3 linked regions of the Macaca fascicularis genome follow. The protein of the gene in region 1 interacts with the protein of each later gene in a pairwise test. Links are inferred from orthologs where the notes say so. Each region holds a gene or a part of one and is shown on either strand. Other genes may lie near its edges.

Evidence for each region.
Region 2: the proteins of TOP1 (region 1) and BTBD1 interact in a two-hybrid assay, tested with the Homo sapiens proteins (2 studies listed by BioGRID). The link is inferred for Macaca fascicularis from reciprocal best matches to the Homo sapiens genes TOP1 and BTBD1.
Region 3: the proteins of TOP1 (region 1) and BTBD2 interact in a two-hybrid assay, tested with the Homo sapiens proteins (2 studies listed by BioGRID). The link is inferred for Macaca fascicularis from reciprocal best matches to the Homo sapiens genes TOP1 and BTBD2.

What each region holds. Positions count from the first base shown.
Region 1 is NC_088384.1:97,227,879-97,231,528, forward strand, and holds part of TOP1 (DNA topoisomerase 1), read left to right. Parts: intron 1-2,033; coding exon 2,034-2,128; intron 2,129-2,345; coding exon 2,346-2,495; intron 2,496-3,531; coding exon 3,532-3,634; 3' UTR 3,635-3,650. UniProt on the Homo sapiens protein: Releases the supercoiling and torsional tension of DNA introduced during the DNA replication and transcription by transiently cleaving and rejoining one strand of the DNA duplex.
Region 2 is NC_088381.1:68,116,023-68,119,672, reverse strand, and holds part of BTBD1 (BTB/POZ domain-containing protein 1), read right to left. Parts: intron 550-3,650; coding exon 357-549; intron 1-356.
Region 3 is NC_088393.1:2,623,254-2,626,903, reverse strand, and holds part of BTBD2 (BTB/POZ domain-containing protein 2), read left to right. Parts: intron 1-1,068; coding exon 1,069-1,188; intron 1,189-2,455; coding exon 2,456-2,612; intron 2,613-3,650.

The sequences.
Region 1 (3,650 bases):
TATAATTTATGCTACAGATACCATCTGGCTTTCTTGAAGAGATGTACCCGTCCACAGTGAATGAATATACATCCATAGACCACTTGAGTCCTTGGATCATATGATTGGCAGGCAAAGAACTCTATAGATGGCCCATCCTAGCAGCTCACATTTGCTGCCACTCTGTTAAATGCTGGTCATCTGGAATTGTTTATTCTCCTCATGTTATCATTCCAAGCCAGAAATAAAAGCATGAATATTCAGGTGCTGTTTACCTAATTCAGGAAGACCCCTCCCAGGAGTATGAGGAGGTCTTTTGTTGCTCTCACTCTGGAACCACTGTTTGGGCAGCCCAGGCTGCCTGCCAGACGAGCCCTCCAAGCCCAGGATTCCTCTCCTGTGTGCCCACAAAGCAAACACACGCCCCTTTTTGCCAAGTGAATCAATGGAGTCTTTGATGCTTTGAGAGAATTTGACATAGCCTGCCAATTTAGCATTCACAGAAATGGTTAAAAGATTGTGGTTTGCTACATTTCTATCCTAAAAAGAATCTGGCTAGTGGTGTCTGTGACGCTTTTGTATATAGAATCAGTCCCCTCAGTTTGGCTTTGGACAACATAGATATTGGAAGTAAGCCATTCATAGTAAAACATATTTAGTGATTCTCTCACAATGGTGGCCTCTGTTTCCAGTCTTGGGCTGTGTGTATTTAACAAACAATTCTGGGCTCAGTGAGCAGCCCAGTGTGTGTCAGACATGTTATTTACTCTGTGGAGGTTGTGTTAACCTCACAGATCAGCTAGATGGTCATAGATATGGGGTTCTTCTGTCCTCAGAGCAGCGTGAGCTCACTGACAGGGGCTCTAGCTCCATGTTGTTACCCACTGCTGTCTCTAAGCAGGAATCTAAGAACTTTCTCACCAGTGGTGCTTCAAGGATTCTAACAAGCAAGAAAGGCTGAAACTGCCCTTGTCTCTTCCCTTATAGATATGGATTCCACGAGATTTCACTTGGGAAAAAAAGCTCCACAGCTGAAAGTGTTTTCACATCCATTGAGTGACAACTAAGGTCCTTCCCACCTCAGACCTCTCTCCTTTTTATTTTATTTATTTATTTATTGAGACGGAGTCTCGCTCTGTCACCCAGGCTGGAGTGTAGTGGCGTGATCTTGGCTCACTGTAAGCTCCACCTCCCAGGTTCATGCCATTCTCCTGCCTCAGCCTCCCGAGTAGCTGGGACTACAGGCGCCCACCACCACACCTGGCTAATTTTTTGTATTTTTAGTAGAGATGGGGTTTCACCATGTTAGCCAGGATGGTCTAAATCTCCTGACCTTGTGGTCCACCCACCTCAGCCTCCCAAAGTGCTAGGATTACAGGCATAAGCCACCGCGCCCGGCAACCTCTCTCCTTTTAAAAACAGAATGCCAAAGCTAGGCCCTGCCATGTCCTGGTTTGGGACAGACTGGCTGAGCTGTTTGGCTTCCTGGGTATCTTTTAATTGCCAGTTTGTAGCCCCTTGAGTACTCTCTTCAGTGCATCCATTTTCCTTGAGAAGCTGTCGCCGCCTTCCCAGAGTACTGGTGGGATCTGAGGAATGAGCTGGGGTTGCCCAGTAGATGCAAGTATCCTGGCTCAGCTTCCTAAAGAGTAGCTCCTACAGTGTTCTTGGAATGAAAGCTAAAAACTGGCACAGGATCTAGTTGATAAACAGCTGTCATTTGTAGCCGTTCTCCCAGATGTCTGACAGCAGAGTGTTCTCTGATGGAAAGATCAGCACCCAGATTCCCAGCCCCAGCGGGTTCCTTTCCCTGAGCCCCTAGGTTACTATGCTGTAGAACCCTTGTTTCTTGCAGGATCACTGAAGAACAAATAGTTGAATTCAGTAGTCCCTGTGCATCTTCTCCCTGCCTTCATGAAGCCACCCTTGGTGTTTTTATCTGACAAACCACTGACAGAGACAGCTTGGTCCAGATAACATCTAGGTTTCACCTTGTCTTGAGGGAGCCATTTTTCCTCTACAGCTCATAACCTTACCACTATTATTTCCCCTAGATTGATGCCAAGAAGGAACAGCTAGCAGATGCCCGGAGAGACCTGAAAAGTGCTAAGGCTGATGCCAAGGTCATGAAGGATGCAAAGACCAAGAAGTACGTACCTGGTATTGTAAAAGTTGGGGCGGGTGGGGAAAAGTGTGTGCAGCATCTGTCAGAGGTCCTGGGGCCCTGGCTTTTCTATGGTTTCTGAGGGATGTCTTTTGGAAATCTCTGTACTAGGGCTTTTATTGACTCAAAGTGGCAGCATGGGTACAGTGTGCTCTTGTTTAGAGCCCAGGCCTGGTTCTTGAGGACTGTGCTATTCTTCTAGGGTAGTAGAGTCAAAGAAGAAGGCTGTGCAGAGACTGGAGGAACAGTTGATGAAGCTGGAAGTTCAAGCCACAGACCGAGAGGAAAATAAACAAATTGCCTTGGGAACCTCCAAACTCAATTATCTGGACCCTAGGATCACAGTGGCTTGGTAAGTGTTGAACCTTCCTTGAGCTCCTGCTGCTAGCTTGAGAAAGGTGGAGGGCACTGGTGGCCTTCACATGCCATTCCTAAGCTGCACACTTCTAGTCCTATGGGGAAACTTCTGGCTTCAGCTGTGTACAAGTTACTTTGGTTGCTGAACCTTGTCTGTAGATGCATTGCAACATTCTGGTTGCTCCTAAATGGTCAGTGCTGTCATACTGCCTTGTAGTGTATGTTATGTTTTTAAGAGGCAGGTTCCATCCCTATTCCTTATGGAACTTTAGGACAGGAATGGAAACTCTTAGCTTCTGGCAAAATAGGAAAGAGCCCATTCAACTCTACCCTTCAACAAAACTTTTCGTTGAAATTTTTTGCAGTTGAAGGTAGGAACAAGAGATAAAGATGAGAATAGAGATCTGAGCAACTTACACAGAGAGGCAGAGGGGTCTTTAACAAAGGCAGATAAATATTAGGTTTCTCTCTGTGTGTCACACACACTGTCACATAACATCTGAAATAAGTGGCTTTGTTTTGGAAGATGTTTAGTTTGAGCTGTTAAGTTCTGAGCATAGGTGGAGATATCCTCCCCTATGGCACTTGCTAGTCCGGGCTAAAGGTTCCACCTAACTCTTTTGTACCTCTTTCTGCTCGTTTTGCCTTGTTTGGTGCTAGAGGTTTGGTTAGCTCTTAAAAGGCAATATAGTATAGGGTTAAGAACATGGAGAAAAACTGCTTGGGTTCAAATTTCAGGTCACTTACCACCTAGCTGTTTGAGAAAATCAGTAAATTACCTAACGTCTCTGCCTCAGTTTCTTCATCTGTACCTTTTTTACTTGTACATCTGCAGAAGCACCTACTTTAGAGATCACTGCCAAGATTAAATGAGTTGATCACATAAAACCTTTAGAACATGCTTGGTGCACTATTAATTTGCATCCTCACTAGACAGACGTGAAAGAGAAGATGGAACATCTGACCCTGAGCTTCAGATATGGGCCATTGCTGAGTCACCCTAATCCCCCTTATTTCTCCTTTATTTGCAGGTGCAAGAAGTGGGGCGTCCCAATTGAGAAGATTTACAACAAAACCCAGCGGGAAAAGTTTGCCTGGGCCATTGACATGGCTGATGAAGACTACGAGTTTTAGCCAGTCTCAAGAGGCA
Region 2 (3,650 bases), on another chromosome or scaffold:
CGCTTGAACCCAGGAGGTGGAGGTTACAGTGAGAGAGATCGCGCCACTGCACTCCAGCCTGAGTGACAGAGCGACTCTATCTCGGGTGAAAAAAAAAAAAAAAATCACATAACAGAAGGTCCAACCCAATCCTTTCTTACTCTGTTTTTTTCTTAAGAAGTCACCCTCACTCATAAATCAGTGAGGAGGGCGGGATGCCTCAGTGACTTCTTGACTCCTGTATTAACTTAACTTAAAAGTGTATTAAACAAAGTATAAAATGAAATGTTGGTTAATTATCTCCCACAATATATAAAAAAGGCCAAATGGTAACTGCTACCCCCATTCTACCCCCGTATCCCCAATATAACAGATACCTGATTCGATCACTCGTCCCACTGTAACCCCAGCGGCTTTCTACTTGCTGGAATCTATTGATGCAGCATTCCTTTCCTCTGAGGCAGCACCTTGGTCGGTCAATGTATTCAACTCGGGGTTTAGGGTTGACAGTAAAATGAAGAAAGAGGTTTACCACTTCACGATCTGACAAAATTCCAGATTGAGCAGGACCTGTGGAAATAAAAACATAAACCTAAAAAAAGCAATTTGATTTCAATTCCTAACTTTGGAATACTCCACTTAAAGTAAATTCAAATCTAGAGGATGTAACATAAAAATAGGGAAAAAAAATCTTAGCATATATAATCTTTGCATATATTTTAAAGTTTCGATAAATCCATTTGAGGTTAAACACATTAATTAAAATGTTAAAAGCATTAATTAGTCAAAATTTAGATTCAGGAATAAATGCTGTTCCTTATGGATGCCAGGAATCCTCCTTTCTCACCTTATATAAAAATCAACTCGAGATGAATCAAAGACTTAAATCTAAGAAACCATAAAAATTCTAGAAGACAGCATCTAGAAAACTCTTCAAGACATTGGCTTAGGTAAATAATTCATGACTAAGAACCCAAAAGCAAATGCAACAAAAACAAAAATAAATGAATGGAACCTAATTAAACTAAAAAGCTTTTGCACAGCGGAAGAAATAATCAGCAGAGCAAACACACGACCCACAGAGTGGGAGAAAATATTTGCAAACTATGCATCCAACAAAGGACTAATATCCAGAATCTACAACTCAAACAAGTCAGCAAGAAAAAAAACCCAAATAATCCCAGGACAAAGTGTGCAAAGGACAGGAAGAGACAATTCTCAAAAGAACATATACAAGTGGCCAACAAACATATGAAAAAATGCTCATGTTCATCACTAATTATCGTGGAAAGGCAAATTAAAACCGCAATAAGGTATCACCTCACTCCTGCAAGAATGGCCATAATTAGAAAAAAAAAAAAAGATGCTGGCATGGATGTGGTGAAAAAGTAACTCTTTTACACTGTTGGTGGTAATGTAAACTACTACAATCACTAAGGAAAACAGTATGGAGATTCCTTAAAGAACTAAAAAGGGCCAGGCGTGGTGGGTCATGCGTGTAATCCCAGTACTTTAGGAGGCTGAGGTGGGCAGATCACAAGGTCAGGAGTTTGAAACCAGCCTGACCAACATGGTGAAACCCCATCTCTAAAAAAATATACAAAAATTAGCTGGGTGCAGTGATGGGCGCCTGTAGTCCCAGCTACTCGGGAGGCTGAGGCAGGAGAATCGCTTGAACCTGGAGGCGGAAGCTGCAGTGAGCTACGATCGCACCACTGCACTCCAGCCTGGGCAACAGAGCAAGACTCTGTCTCAAAAAAAAAGAACTAAAATTAGAACTACCATTTGATCCAGCAGTTCCACTACCGGATATCTACCCAAAGGAAAGTAAGTCATTACATGAAAAAGATTCTTGCACATACATGTTTACAGCAGCACTACTGGCAACTGCAAAAATATGGAGCCAAGCTAAATGCCCATCAACCAATGACTGGATGAAGAAAATGTGGTATATATACACCACAGAATACTACTCAGTCATAAAACAGAACGAAACAAAGGCCTTTACAGCAACTTGGATGAACTTGGAGACCATTATTCTAAGTGAAGTAACTCAGGAATGGAAAACCAAATATCATATGGTCTTACTTATAAGTGGGAGCTAAGACGCTATGAGGAGGCAAAGGCCTAAGAATGATATAATGAACTTTGAGGACCTGGGCGAAATGGTGGAAGGCAGGTGAGCGATAAAAGCCTACATGTTGGGTACCATTCCCCAACATGGTGAAACCCCGTCTCTACTAACAATACAAAATTTAGCCGAGCATGGTGGTGGGTGCCTGTAATCCTAGCTACTCGGGAGGCTGAGGCAGGAGAATCACTTGAACCTGGCAGGTGGAGGTTGCACTGAGATGAAATTGTGCCACTGCACTCTAGGCTGGGTGATGACAGAGTCTTACTCTGTGTCTCCAAAAAAAAAAAAAAAAAAAAAAAAAAGGAATAGAATAGCATTCAAATGAAAGATGGAGCTTTCTACCCAGAAAAATATCCTTCACAAACGAAGGCAAGCTGGGCTCAGCAGTGTGCCCCTCTAGTCTCAGCTACTCAGGAAGCTAGGGTGGGAGGATTGTTTGAGGCCAGAATTTTGAGGCTGTGAATAGCCACTGCACTCCAGCCAGGGCAACATAGCAGGGCCTCATCTCTTTAAAAAAAAAAAAAAAAAAAAAAAAGTAAGATAAAGCTGTTTTTAGACAAAAGAAAAAAAAGAGTTGAGAGAATCTGGTTAGTATCCTGCCTGTTCTAAAAGAAATACTGAAGGGAATTTTTCAAGCTAACAGAAACGTTTCCAGATAGAAGCACACATCTGGTCATACAGAAAAAAATGAAGATAACTGAAAGGGCAAATATATAGGCAAATCAAAATGATTATTGACTTTAAAAATAATGTTTTGTGGGCTTTGTAACATATGAAAAATTAAAATACACAAAATAGTAGCACCAAAGGCTACAGAAGGTTAAATATAGCAAAAGTATCAATAATGCCTTTATTATAGTGTGGAAAATTTTAATTAAAATTTTTTAATTTAATTAATTTATTTATTTAGAGACAGGGTCTCACTGTCGCCCAGGTGTGGAGAGCAGTGGTGTGATCATGGCTAACTGCAGCCTTGAACTCCTGGGCTCAAGTGATCCCCAGCTCAGTCCCCCAGGTAGCTGGGACTACAGGTGTGTGCCACCACTCCAGGCAAATTTTTAAATTTTTTTTTGTAAAGACAGGGTTTCCCCATTTTGCCGAGGCTGGCCTTGAACTCGACTCAAACAATCTACCCGCCTCAGCCTCCCAAAGTGCTGGAACTAAAGGCATGAGCCACTGTTCCCCACCTAAAAATTTTAATTTTTAAGATTTAATTTAAAAATCAGTAAGAATATATTCTTGTAATAACAAGGGCAACCCACTAAAATAATAATAAAAGACTCTTTAATAAGGGAGGCTGAGGTGGGAGGATCACCTGAGCCCAGGAGGTTGACGCTGGAATGAGCTGAAATCATGCCACTGCATTCCAGCCTGGGTGACAGAGGAGACACTGTCTACAAAAAAAAAGAAAGAAAGTTTAATAGACTATTAATCATATTAAGTATAAAGTGAATCAAATATTCCATATAAAAGGCAAAGTCTTTCAGACTGAATTTTTAAAAAATGAAGCTTACAAGAGACATGGTCAAAATAACGT
Region 3 (3,650 bases), on another chromosome or scaffold:
TGGAGGATCTGAGCCACTGAGTGGGTCCCATAGGGAGCCTGTGCTCCACACGGGGCAGAACCCACAGCGTCCTCACAGCCACCGCTTTCCCAGCTGGGGCTGCCCCTGGTGCCTCCTAACGCTCCTCCCATGCTCCTGCTGTTCCCTGGGCCTTGATGCCCTTCCCCACCGGCGTGGTGGCTCAGATGACCCCACAAGGCTTCCCTGGGCCTTGTGTTCCGAATAGGACCACGCTCCTCTCTCTTCCCTCACTCAGTGGGGGCTGTTCGGCCACTTGGTCCTTGTCTGTCTCCCTCAGGCCAGGCCCTGTGCCTGTAGCTGACTCCCTGGGAAAGTGTGTGCCCATGAGGGAATGCGTGAGCGGGAAAGTGATAGAGAGTAGATGAATGTGTGAATCAGTGAGTGAATAATGAGGCTGAATAAGTGGATGAGTGCATGTGGGAATGAATGAATGTGTGTGTCAATGGGTGAATGAGCGAATAAATTCACGTGTTGGATGAATGAGTGAGCGAATGAGTGCGATGAATGAGAAAGTGAATGAATGAGAAAGTGAATGAATGAATGCGGGTCATAAATGAGCGTGTGAATGCACGCCCATGGGAATGAATCAGTGGGTCAATGAATGCATGTGTGGATGAATGAGTGAGTGTATGTGTATGAGTGAGTGAATGTACATGGAAATGAATGAGTTAATGAATGAACATGTGAATGAATGAGCGAGTGAATGAACGCATCTGTGAATGAATGCATGCATGCATGTGGGAATGCGTGAATGCGTGCCTGACGCCTGGAAGGAAAGAGGATGGTGAGGGCTGGCAGAGTGTGAGGCCCTGTGTGGTCCAGGGCATGGTCCCAGCCCTGTCTGTCCTTGCCGTGGGTCCATCTGCATCACCCTCCTGCTGTCCCAGGCCCCTTCCAGAAGCCTCTGCCATCAGGGGGCCTGGCACATGCCTGCTGGGGGCTGGTGGGGACCCCTGGTGGGGTGGTCATCCAAGATACCGGGCAGGCCCTCCCCACCATGGGGTGGCGGCCATGGGGTTAACCAGGGCCTCCTCTCTCCCGTGCCAGGTTCGTGCTGGCTGTGGGCAGCGCCGTCTTTGATGCCATGTTCAACGGGGGAATGGCCACAACGTCCACAGAGATCGAGCTGCCCGACGTGGAACCCGCTGCCTTCCTTGCACTGCTCAAGTAACGCTTCTGGATGCTTCCTGCTGGGGAGCCGGGTGCGGGGAGGGGGACCTCAGAGAACGCAGACCCTGTCTGACACCACCTCAGAGGCCCTGGCTTGGTGGAGATTTCTAGAACTGTGTTCCTGTGCAGTGAGGGGTTCCAGAGGCACCTTTTTTTTTCTTTTTTTTTTTTTTTTGAGATGGAATCTCGCTCTGTTGCCCAGGCTGGAGTGCAGTGGTGTGATCTCAGCTCACTGCGACCTCCGCCTTCCTGGTTCAAGTGATTCTCCTGCCTCAGCCTCCTAAGTACCTAGGATTACAGGCGTTCACCACCACACCCAGCTCATTTTTATGTTTTCAGTAGAGACAGCGTTTCTCTATGTTGGCCAGGCTGGTCTCAAACTCCTGGCCTCAGGTGATCCACCTGAGAAAAAAATTTTTTTTTTTTTTATTTGGAGTAGCACTCTGCCACCATGGCTGGAGTGCAGTGGCTTGATCCTGGCTTACTGCAACCTCTGCCTCCTGGGTTCAAGCGATTCTCTTGCCTCAGCCTCCTGAGTAGCTGGGATTACAGGTGCCCGCCACCACGCCCAGCTAATTTTTGTATTTTTAGTAGAGACGGGGTTTCACCATTTTGGCCAGGCTGGTCTGGAACTTCTTGACCTCAGATGATCTGCCTGTCTCAGCCTCCCAAAGTGCGGGGATTACAGGCGCGAGCCACCAGGCCCGGCCTTTGCTTCTATTTTTGATCGGCCCAACTTCTGATCTGTATTCAGTGTGGGCCACTGGCTGGCATCGTGTTCAGCGTGGTGTGGGCCCCTCGCTGGCATACAGTAATGTTGTCCATGATTATCCATGAGCCTAACTAGTGTGTGGGGTTCTGTGATCACCCAGAAATGGTCGAGGTTTTCGGTGGGGCCTGAGGTGGGGAACCAAGAGTTCCTCATGGAAAAGGCACCCAAGGAGGAGACACCCAGCTCCCAGTGCCCTCTCCTGGGGCATCCCGGGAAGAACGAGACAGGCCGTGTAGACGCTTCCGGGTGTGTGCTGTGTGGATGGGTTCAGCCTCTTGTTTTCATGGGTGACTGCCTTGCCAAGTCATGTCCCTAGGTCAGAGGGCAACAGACAAGGGCTAATTCTGGAAGGTTCCTCGGGGAGCCTGATGTGGGGCGTTTGGGCCCTGCAGGCTCAAGGGCAGGCGGCCAGGTCTGAGTGGTCCTCTGACGCTGTTCCCTGGGGGCGGGCATGGCGGTCCCATCTCATGGCTACCCGCGTTGCCTCTGCAGGTTTCTCTACTCGGACGAGGTGCAGATCGGCCCGGAGACGGTGATGACCACGCTATACACCGCCAAGAAGTACGCGGTGCCAGCGCTGGAGGCCCACTGCGTGGAGTTCCTGAAGAAGAACCTGCGAGCCGACAACGCCTTCATGCTGCTCACGCAGGTGGGCGGGGCCGGCACGGGGCGGGGCCGGCACGGGGCGGGGCCGGCACGGGGCGGGGCCGGCACGGGGCGGGGCCGGCACGGGGCGGGGCCGGCACGGGGCGGGGCCGGCACGGGGCGGGGCCGGCACGGGGCGGGGCCGGCACGGGGCGGGGGCGGGGCCAGGCCTGGCTGGAGGCGGGACGGGGTGGGGGCGGGCACGGGCTGGAGGCGGGACCGGGGTGGGCCCTGGAGGCAGCAGGATCCTGCCTGGTAGTAAAATGTGTTTTGTGCCGTGCGCTGTGGCTCACGCCTGTAATCCCCGCACATTGGGAGGCTGAGGCGGGCGGATTACCTGAGGTCAGGCGTTCCAGACCAGCCTCGCCAACATGGCGAAATCTCGTCACTACTAAAAATACAAAAATGAGCCTGGAGTGGTGGCGGACACCTGTAATCCCAACTAGTCTGGAGGCTGAGGCAGGAGAATCGCTTGAACCTGGGAGGCGGAGGTTGTAGTGAGCCGAGATTGCGCCACTGCACTCCAGTCTGGCAACAAAGCGAGACTCTACCTGAAAAAAAAAATGTGCCTTGGACTTTTCTGTGATAGTTTAAAAAGTTATTGGCAGGGTGCGGTGGCTCATGCCTGTAACCCCAGCACTTTGGGAGGCCGAGGAGGGAGGATTGCTTGAGGCCGGGAGTTCTAGACCAGCCTAGGCAACATAGGGAGACCCCATTTCTACAAAAAACAGAAAAAAGATACAGGCTGGGCATAATGGTTCATGCCTGTAATCCCAGCACTTTGGGAGGCTGAGACAGGCAGATCACCAGAGGTGAAGAGTTTGAGACCAGCCTGGCCAACATGGTAAAACCCCATCTCTACTAAAAAAAAAAAAAAAAAAAATTGGCCCGGCGCGGTGGCTCAAGCCTGTAATCCCAGCACTTTGGGAGGCCGAGACGGGTGGATCACGAGGTCAGGAGATCGAGACCATCCTGGCTAACATGGTGAAACCCTGTCTCTACTCAAAATACAAAAAACTAGCTGGGCGTGGTGGCGGGCGCC